Ovis aries: one gene and its partner. The protein of the gene in region 1 interacts with the protein of each later gene in a biochemical or structural test. Links are inferred from orthologs where the notes say so. Each region holds a gene or a part of one and is shown on either strand. Other genes may lie near its edges.

What was found.
Region 2: of the proteins of SRPK2 (region 1) and HNRNPC, one has a biochemical effect on the other in vitro, tested with the Homo sapiens proteins (2 studies listed by BioGRID and IntAct). The link is inferred for Ovis aries from reciprocal best matches to the Homo sapiens genes SRPK2 and HNRNPC.

The regions. Positions count from the first base shown.
Region 1 is NC_056057.1:48,041,562-48,046,954, forward strand, and holds the start of SRPK2 (SRSF protein kinase 2), read right to left. Parts: upstream 3,488-5,393; 5' UTR 3,467-3,487; coding exon 3,340-3,466; intron 3,011-3,339; exon of another isoform or gene 2,868-3,010; coding exon of another isoform or gene 2,852-2,867; intron 2,764-2,851; coding exon 2,709-2,763; intron 1-2,708. UniProt on the Homo sapiens protein: Serine/arginine-rich protein-specific kinase which specifically phosphorylates its substrates at serine residues located in regions rich in arginine/serine dipeptides, known as RS domains and is involved in the phosphorylation of SR splicing factors and the regulation of splicing.
Region 2 is NC_056060.1:24,245,160-24,249,848, forward strand, and holds part of HNRNPC (heterogeneous nuclear ribonucleoproteins C1/C2), read left to right. Parts: intron 1-893; 5' UTR 894-930; coding exon 931-1,171; intron 1,172-3,311; coding exon 3,312-3,426; intron 3,427-4,214; coding exon 4,215-4,262; intron 4,263-4,689. UniProt on the Homo sapiens protein: Binds pre-mRNA and nucleates the assembly of 40S hnRNP particles. Interacts with poly-U tracts in the 3'-UTR or 5'-UTR of mRNA and modulates the stability and the level of translation of bound mRNA molecules. Single HNRNPC tetramers bind 230-240 nucleotides.

The DNA.
Region 1 (5,393 bases):
TATACTAAAATTAGATCTATACTCCCTCTCCTGCTCTGGAAAACTAAGTAAAAGCCAAAAACACTGGGCATCTGGAGACCCGAATTTTGGTTCAAACTAAGCTAACTGTGTGACCTTACCCTCTATCAGAGCTGTCTGTAAAATGAGGAAAACCTCTGAGGCTACCAGTCTCCTCAAGTCCCTCCACCATCACTTCTCTCCCCACATCACTTCAAGTCAAGTCACCAGAGTTCTCCCCAATTACTATGGAAGGCAAGCTCTCTGTGTAATTCTTCCCACCACTCATAATCCATCCTCCACATTAACAGCCAGTATACTTTTTAATAGGAATCAGATCCCACCACTCCTATCTGTGCCTCTCCAGGGCCTACAAGGCCAGGCCCTACCCATTTCAACTCCTCCCAAATCACCATCCTCACCAGGAGCACTCTAGCCACTCCGACCTTTGGGTTCCTCCAACATTCCTAGCCCATTCCTCCCCAGGGCCTTTGCCATACTCCCATCTTCTCTTTATTCTAAATTCTATTCAAATGCAACCTCCTCAGAGAACTGAGAGTGAGCTCTGGTCTCAGTCTGCCCAGACTGAACTTAATAGCTGGACATGTTGCTTACTCATGCTATGCCTCTGCTTCATCTGTAAAGTGGTGATACCTACAGTGTCTGCCTCACAGGATGACCACCAGGGATAGATACATGAAAATAGAGCCGCAAATTGACTGGCACAGTTTTCAAATGTTATCTATCACTGTACTTAATGCACCCCATCTTCACTTTCTATCTTCACGGCATTATCCGGAATCGTCTTTGTCATTGGTTCTGAAGCCCCGGAAGAGACACAGCTTCATAAACTTTGCTTTTCTTGCTCAAAGCTCTACCAATGTATTCTAGGAATGGCATACAAATACTTGTTGAATATATGAATAAAGCAATATTAAGGATTCCTTTAATACTGCCATGATTCAAAGAATTAAGTGAAAAATGACACTGCCTCAATCAAACAGATCTACATATACATAGATCCATCTACACAGCCTCACACAAACAGCCATCCCCAAAACTAAGGGCATGCTTTTTTCCAACTCCTTTTAACTTTTCTGAACAAAATGGGCTGTGTAGGAAGAAATGCTTAAATTTGAAAGTCGTGACCAAAACTCAAGAGCCAAAACACTACAGTTCTTATGGGCTACTTATGGGCTAAATTTCCATCATTTACCAAAGGAGACCTCAAATATAAGATTGATAGCGTTAATTTTTAAAGTTCCTAAATCTACCAAATATCCACTGCGATTTAAAATATTAAGAATTCAATTTTTAGCCATCAATTTAAGCCCTTAATAAATATGTTTCCCTCATTCTAGTAGTAGGCTTGTTTGAGTGCAGGGTGCTTGTTTTTAAGAAAGGCTTTATTATATAGGTATCCACATTTTGTGACATCCTGAACTTACGTTCAAGTAAATATCATGATACATCACATTAGTAATGACTTACGCAGCTTTCATAGACGCCACCAATGGTTATGAAATTCGCTAGGCAGACACCAAAGTGAATGAGAAGGGGAAAAGTCTAAGACGCTGCAGGCTAGTGCCCCAAAGAAAACAAACCAACGAGAACTGCTTCGTGATTTTATTTAAAGATGATCACGGACTATCCCCATAATACCAAATAAACCATAGAGTATTTCTTGCTCAAATGGAAGAGCGAAGCCACAAATCTAGGAGGAGGAGTAAAGATTCTGAACGGTAGTAGATTCTTCAAAATTAGAGGGAGGAAAGGGAAAGGAGACGCGGCGGCGCTCTGCGGTGTCGGAGCAGCTCTCCAGGAAAGGCTTCCCGGGCGCCGGCCGCTCCCACTCCGGTCCGCGGCCAAGCTGGAGGTGGCTGGCGGCTGGCACGTTTGAAATATCACCACCCTATTCATCTCCTCCCGGCACAATGAGGGGCTGGGCAGCCGCGCCGGGGACCGCCTGCGCACACGCCCACCCGCCCCGCGCAGCCCAAGACCCGGGCGCAGCCGCGGCTCAGCGAAGTCACGCTCGGCCCGGGCAGAAAGTTTCGGGGGAAAAAAAAAAAATCCAAGCGCCGAAACGCACAGGTCTCGGAGCTGAATTCGCGCCAGGAACACGCCCGAGGCAAACCACTTGACAACCAGCTCGGGTTTTCAGCAAAAAGGCCGAGAGGCGGGGGCCGAGGAAGAGGAGGCAACATGCATATACATACGTACGCACACACACACACACACACACACACAACACACACACACACACGGCTCCTCTTCCTCTAGCGCCCCGGCGCCCAGGTGGGAGCGATGCCGCAGCCTCACGCCCGGACGCGGCACCGGACGCCAGCGCCCCTTCCTGGAAGGCTCGCGACCCCCGGGGCCAGCTAGGAGAGCAAAGGGGAGGGTGCGCACGCCCCACGCCTCCTCGCCCGTCCGCCCCTGACGGCCGCGGCGGCAGGAGGCCGGAGAGGCCTGGGGTCCGGGGATGCTCAGCCGGGCGGCCGCGGGCTCGCGGGCGCCCCTCCCCCGCCCTCCCGCCCCTCCCCCCGGGCCGCCCGCGGGGCGCGCAGGAGGCGAGCGCCGGCGTCCCGGGGGATCAGCCCGCCCGCCCGCCGGCTCCAGGAATCCGGGCAACTTTCCCCTGCTCGGCCGCGGGCGCCCCCCGACAGGGCGGGGACGGGCGTCTGGGGACCAGCCCTATGTGGACTCACTTTTTCGGATGTTTCTCCCTTTTCGGCCTCCGCTTTCGGGCCTGAATGGCCAGCACTGAGGAAAGAAGACACACATTAACGGTCGGGCAGGCCGGCCTGCGGGGCCACGTGGCGCAGAGGAGGGGACGCTGTGGGCCACTCACCTTTCCGGGAGCTCATCCCGACGCGGCGCCGGAGGGGCGGGGGGCTTCGCGGCGGCGGCGGCGGCGGCGGCGGCGGCGGCGGCGGCAGCGACGCGGGAGCCGAGCCGAGCTGCAGCCTCCACTCGCTCCGCCGGCCGGGAGGAGGCGGGAACCGCGCCTGCGCCGCCGCCGCCGCCGCCGCCGCTCCCGCGGGGGGCCCAGAGAAACCCGCCCCCGGCCGGCCCCGCCCCCGCCCCCGCCCCCGCCCCCGCCCGCCCAGTGGGGTCGAGACCCCCGCGCCGGTGCCGCCCGCGCGCCCCGCACCCACGCGACTGGCCCACCTGCGCGGAAGTGACCCCACACACACGGCCACCGCCACTCCCTCCCACGCCTCCGCCGCCCGGGCCTCCGCCTCCTGCGCCCCCGCGGCTGGCCCAGGCCTCCTGCCTTTCCCCGGCACCCGGCCCGCGCGACCCTCCCCCTGCAACCACAGCCTCTCCCCTACCCACCCCGGCCGGTCGCGCCACACGTCTCTCCATGCGCTCTTCCCTGGCCCGCGCCTCCGCGGGTCTCACACCACCTTTCCTCACGCGGCCTCTTCTCCCCCTTTGCTCCTCTACATCCTTGCATCCCCATGAGCGCCACTTCCTCCTCTCCGGCGGGTGTGGAAAGGGCACAGGACCAAGAGCTGAGAAACCTGGGTCTTTCACTAGCTGTGTGACCTTGGAAAAGTCATTTTGTCTCTCATCTTTACCTACCCCGCAGGATTGCTTGAGTGTAAAGAAAAAGATGCAAACAGTAGGATTAAGTAGGATTACGCTTTTGCACAGGAATTAAAAGTCCAGTTCAATAAATGCCAAGTGTATAACAATTATAACCAAGCCACCGAGGAGTTATTCCTTACTAAGAGGAAATTGACTCCTGAAGAGGTTAAAAAGTTTACCCAACAATGATTCAAATTTAGGCCTAGGTGACTCTAATCAACTTGATTGGGGGAAAAAATGTTTTTGAAAGATACTTATCCTGATCATTTACTCTGTCAACTGTATTCTTAGCTCATCAGGGGAGCTAGTTGTATTTTAAAGATCCTTAAACCAACCTGAATAGCGCTGCTTGAACTTAAAGAGCTTTTTACAATACTTTCTTGATTTTTTATTTTAAAAAATATCAAAAGTACCGAAAAGTTGAGAAAAATATCGTGAACATCCGTATTAACCCATATTCACCAATTTTGAACATTTCCCCACATTTGCTTTCCCTGTGTGTGTGGAGGGGGTGTGTTGTTTATGATAAATCATTTCAGTTTTTTGTAGACTTTGTTACTCTTGAGTATCTACTAAGAACAAATACTCTCCGACGTAATCATAATTCCATGATCACTGCAAGAAAATTTAGTTATCATTATGAGTAACATACAGAGGCCATATTCAAATCTCCAAAATGTCCTTCTTAGTGGACCTTTTTCTCAATCTGGAATACAATCAAAGATCATGCATTACATTTATTTGCCATGCCTTTTTAAGCTCCTGTAGTCTAGAATAATCCCTAGTTTTGTTTTTTGCTTTAATAACATTCACCTTTTCTAAGAATTCCACTGTTTCCAGAACGTTGTTCAGTTTGTATTCATCTGCTCCCTATTAGATTCAAGTTAAATAATTTTTTGTCATCGACACTAAATAGATGATATTAAGTTCATTTTGGGGAGCGTGGTGGGCTGCCGTCTATGGGGTAGCACAGAGTCGGACACCACTGGAGTGACTTAGCAGCAGCAGCCCTAGCAGCAGTATCCTGCATCAAGAGAGATACAATGTCTGTACTATTATTGGTGATGTTACATTGTAATCATTACTCCATGGTAAAGATACATTTTGTTTCCTTTGTATTTAAAAAGTAGTCTGTGTGAAAAATGGGCAAGAGACTTAGACATTTCTCCAAAGATAAACAAATGGCTGACAGGTATGTGAAAAGATGATACATCAACATGAAATGATGTACAGCATCACTCAGTTCAGTTCAGTTCAGTTCAGTCGCTCAGTCGTGTCCGACTCTTTGCAACCCCATGAACCGCAGCACACCAGGCCTCCCTGTCCATCACCAATTCCTGGAGTTCACTCAGACTCATGTCCATCGAGTCAGTGATGCCATCTAGCCATCTCATCCTCTGTCATCCCCTTCTCCTCCTGCCCCCAATCCCTCCCAGCATCAGAATAGACAGATGTAAAGCAAAATCAAAATGAGATAGCACTTCACATCTACAAGCATGACTATAATTTTTTTGTAATGAAAAACAAGTGTTAGTGAGGATAAAGAGATATTGGAATACTCATACATTAGTGGTGGGAATGTAAAATGGTGCAATCACTGTGGAAAATTGTTTCCCAATTCCTCAAAAGCCTAAATATACAATAATCAGCAGTTCCACTCCTAGTTGTATATCCAAAAGAATTGAAAACAGGCATTCAAATCCTTGCACACAAATGTTCAGAGCATCACTAATCATAGTGGCCAAAAGATTAGAAACAACCCAAATATCCACCAGAATATGAATGGATAAACAAATTAT
Region 2 (4,689 bases), on another chromosome or scaffold:
TCTCCACAGAGTTACAGACTATGCCTCTGTAACATATATAAAGATAATTTTTGTTTTGAAATGGTCTGAGCAAAGTTGTGTTTTCTTCCTTACTGCTTCTGGTTCTTTTTTGATTAAGGCAGTGTTATACCTTCTAGTTTTATCATCATCACCATCCAGCATTATTAAATGTCCTAGCTATATTTTGTACTGTTTTCACATAAAGAATCATTAACATTCTGTAAAAATGGTATTGATATGTAAGTATCTATTGGATGCTATAAATCTGGAAATAAACCTGGAAATAGATTATTTCCAGAGTGAATGAGTTGGTTCTATTTATTGCCTTCATATAACAAAGTTAATTAAACTTGAAGGGCAGAGTGTCACTTGTCCACATTCATCCAGCTAAAAAATAGTTTTTGGGCAGAAACTGGAGTTCTTTATGTGGTAACGAGTGAGACTCAATAAAAGCAACATGCAAAAAGGTGGAGTTATTGATAGATGGCAAGGGATGGTTCGATTAGCATAACTGGGACAGTGAAAAAACAAATTTATGGTAGAGAGATTAAGGGGTTCTGATTTGCTTGAGGAGTTTTAAACAGTGAAGTCACTTGGGATTAATAATTTCCAAGAGGATTGTGTGTATTATGTGAAGAGGAATTTTCCCCTCTTGAAGTGATAGTCTAGCAGGAGTATATTACAGAAGAGGAGGTTGAATTTCTATGAGGATATATATTCATGGGCTCAAGTCTCTGAATACTAATAAACTTGATGCTGTGAGATCCATTTTGTTTAAGTTGACTGATAACTGTAGGTAGAATGGTTCAAAATAAGAGTAGAACAGGTTTTTTATCAAGGACTATTTTGTTCTTAGCATTTTTTCACCTGAATGCATTTTTTTCCCCTCTCAGTTTTTCAGCTTTGTGAAGCACCGTATCATCAAAGACAATGGCCAGCAATGTTACCAACAAGACGGATCCTCGCTCCATGAACTCTCGTGTATTCATTGGGAATCTCAATACCCTTGTGGTCAAGAAATCTGACGTGGAGGCAATCTTCTCAAAATACGGCAAAATCGTGGGTTGCTCTGTTCATAAGGGCTTTGCCTTTGTTCAGTATGTTAATGAGAGAAATGCCCGGGCTGCTGTGGCAGGAGAGGATGGCAGAATGATTGCTGGCCAGGTTTTAGGTAAGATCTGGGTTGAATTAATTTTTCATTGATTATGTAATTCACATCTGGGAGTTCTTCTGTTCATGTTTTCTTTCTCTCCCTCTCCCTCTCCATAAAGCTGTTATTCAGAGAGGTGTTCTGCGTGTTATGTCTTGACATCAGCCTAATAAAAAATAAAAATAAGGTTTATAGGTCTAAAGAGAATTTTAGGCCTGTAAAATTTTACCATTTGGTGTAGTAGAGACTGGATAACCCTTAGTTGGCAGTCTTGAGTAAAGTAGGAGAGAGAGGAACAATATTTCATAAGGTACTTTTGCTGCCTAAAATGTCTGTGTCGTTTTGAACACAGTCGACTGGGTAAAGACAACAGGGCTTAGTCATGTGCTCTAGAGTCAGATGTATGTTAGGGCCTTACGTGTTGGGCAGCCTACATGGCTTTTCTTCGTTAAAATAATTGTGTGTGTGTGTGCACATGCTACCTTGGTTTATTATCTATTCTTACTGAAGGTAATACTACTATGTGGTTGTCAAGAGAATTTAGATAACTTGAGAGGGTTAGTTATTTAGATAACTTGAGGTGATTCATAATAAAAGGTTGTCTTATATTAGTTCCCCAGTAGGGTTCGCCTCTGATCTAGCATGTTTAAATTTTTGAGAAATGAGATCTGAGCTCTATTCAGATAAATTATATTTTAAACTTGAGATCTCATTATATGTGTTTCAGTCCTGTGAAAACTGTTGTTTGAAACTTGAGATATCTCATCTTTGGCCAGTGGATAGACCACCTTTAAGTTGGTTCCTGTGTCCTTGAGACCTTTCTCTTGTGATAATGCATTTCCCTTGCTTACTGCACCACAGGATATTCTGGGTCATCTGTGTATCTTATAAGAGTGTTGGCTCCTTTTGATGGGAATTATTTGGAAACCCACTCCCTGTATACCAGGAGTGTTTATTGAATTTTAATTGCATCTTGTTAGTTTCAGTGGGCAGAATAGGGGACACTTAGGTTTTTAAGAAAACAAAATGTCAGATTTTTATGTGTGCATTGTACCACAGCCTCAAGCAATCATAACTCTGTTTTTATTAAAATTATTCAATTTTGGATATTGACTTATTCTCTTGATGGAATAACACATGTTTGAATTGCATGACTTCACATCTACGTATGTATTACATTACTGTAAGAGCATTGGTAGAATCCTAGTGCAAAACCACAGATAATGGAGGGGCAACTGTAAATTTAATGCAGATTTTCCACTATCATGAAATAATTCTATGAGGTTGTAAAATCAGTTGGATACATAGTGTAGTTAATCTTGTTACTACATTTTTTAAACTGCTTTTAAAAAGTCTACCTTTAGTTTTATAAAATCTTAATGATTCCAAAGTCAAAATTGTAAAAGCAGGGTTGTTATAAACATTAATTACTAAAAATTAGAAATGAGTTTTTAGTGAACTACAGACTCTGAAGATTATTCATACTCTGAAGATTATTCATAAATGTAATGGTGTTTAGCAGATAAGACAATGTACTTAAAAGTCTTTTTCCAGTGGTCACTTGATGAACTGAGTTTTGGAGAGCTGGCTAGCTTTTATTTAATTGTTTTTTGAGAAATCGACTCGTCTGTTAAAAGGAACATGAATTCTTTGATAGGTAGTGGGTGGCATGGTGAGCAACTGGGCACTTTGGCATAGGTGTTTTAAAAATTATGTTGTATATGGAAACTAGATTTGTTTTCTTTTAATTCTTTCCCTTTTCTTGGAGTGTGTGTATGCATATGAAGATTGTTTACTTATAAGCAGTTCACTATACAGTGTTTATTTTTTTATGCAGCTTTTCAGTTTATCCTATTTGTAAGGAGAATAAAAATCCCCAGTTTCTCATTGAGGTATTCAAGTCGAGGGTAAAAGGTACTAAAGACAGACTTCGTATGTTTTGCCTTTCTGTTTTGTTGGTAGAGAACAGAGGACAAAGAAACGGAGGATTAAGTCCTAACCTTGTAAAAAAAATCTTGAGCCGATTTTATATAACAAGGAAAGATGAGATACATCATTTGACTTTTGTTTAATTATATGGCCATGTACACTCTAGAAAGATGCAGTTTGAGACACCTCCCTCCCAACAGAGTTGTCATTAAAGTTTTTTTTCCACCCCCAGATATTAATCTGGCTGCAGAGCCAAAAGTGAACCGAGGAAAAGCAGGTGTGAAACGATCTGCAGCGGAGATGTACGGGTCAGTACCAGAACACCCTTCTCCGTCCCCTCTACTCAGGTCCGGAACTTTATTATTTATAACTGCATTGTGTCCATCAGTGGGCATCTTCTCTATCTGTTTTCTGGATGTGGGGAGGGTTAACTGTAGTATGTTTTATGTATGTGAAAGGACTGCTTTATTAATTTTGTGTTAATATACTTCATTTTACCCCATTTCCCAGAGAGTTGTTGGAATTCCTGAGATTTTTTACTATTAAAGAGTAGTTTGGTATTTAAAGTGTTAGTTGCTCAGTCGTCTCTGACTCTCTCGCTATGCCATGGGCGTAGAGCCTGTCGGGCTCCTCTGTCCATGGGATTTCCCAGACAAGAATACTGGAGTGTTGTTGCCATTGCCTTCTCCAGGGAATCTTCCTGACCCAGGGATCAAACCCGGGTCTCCTGCATTGCCGGCAGATTGCTTACCATCTGAGCCACCAGGGAAGCCCTACTAGTATAAATTAAATTCCTTCAAAAGGAGTTACTTAGCTTCTGAGAAGCTGGGGAGGGAGTAAGAAAGGGAAAGAGGATGACATAAGAATGTTTAATTTACTATTGTGTTTTTCCATATTTTTATTTTAGCTCTTATGTGTTGGCATTTTAGCAATCTTAGCTAAATTTGTAGTTCGGCCACTATGTCCAGTGGCCTAAAGTGGTTGGAATTTAGTGATCTGTTGCTTAATGATTGGGCATTAGTCCATGCTAATCTGTTGATCTGTTTGTTGGGTTGGTTTAGGGTGGGTTTTTTTTTTTTTCCATCTGCTGTCGTCAACAGGTCCAAATTAATCCTCTCTGGTATTTGTTTTTCAGCTCATCTTTTGACTTGGACTATGACTTTCAACGGGATTATTACGACAGGTATGTTTAAGATGTTTTCTCTTCCAATTAGAGGCTGTCTAGTGAGAACCATTTATTTTTCTATTTTGTGGTAATGTTCTGTTTTGTAGTAATGAATAACAAACACGTTTTTAAATAAAAGCCCCCTCTTTTCTGTCAGAACATAATGAAAAAAAGTGTGTGTTGCTCAGTTGTATTTGACTGTTTGCAGCCCCATGGACTGTAGCCATCCAGGCTCCTCTGTCCATGTAATTCTCCAGTCAAGAATACTGACTGGAATGGGTTGCCATTCCCTTCTCCAGGGGATCTTCCTGATCCAGGGATCTAACCCAGGTCTTCTGCATTGCAGGCAGATTCTTTACCATCTGAGCCACCAGGAAGCCCAATGGAAAAATAACTTCCTGCAAATCATTAGAGTTAGACTAGATAAGGGTGATTTTTTGTTGTT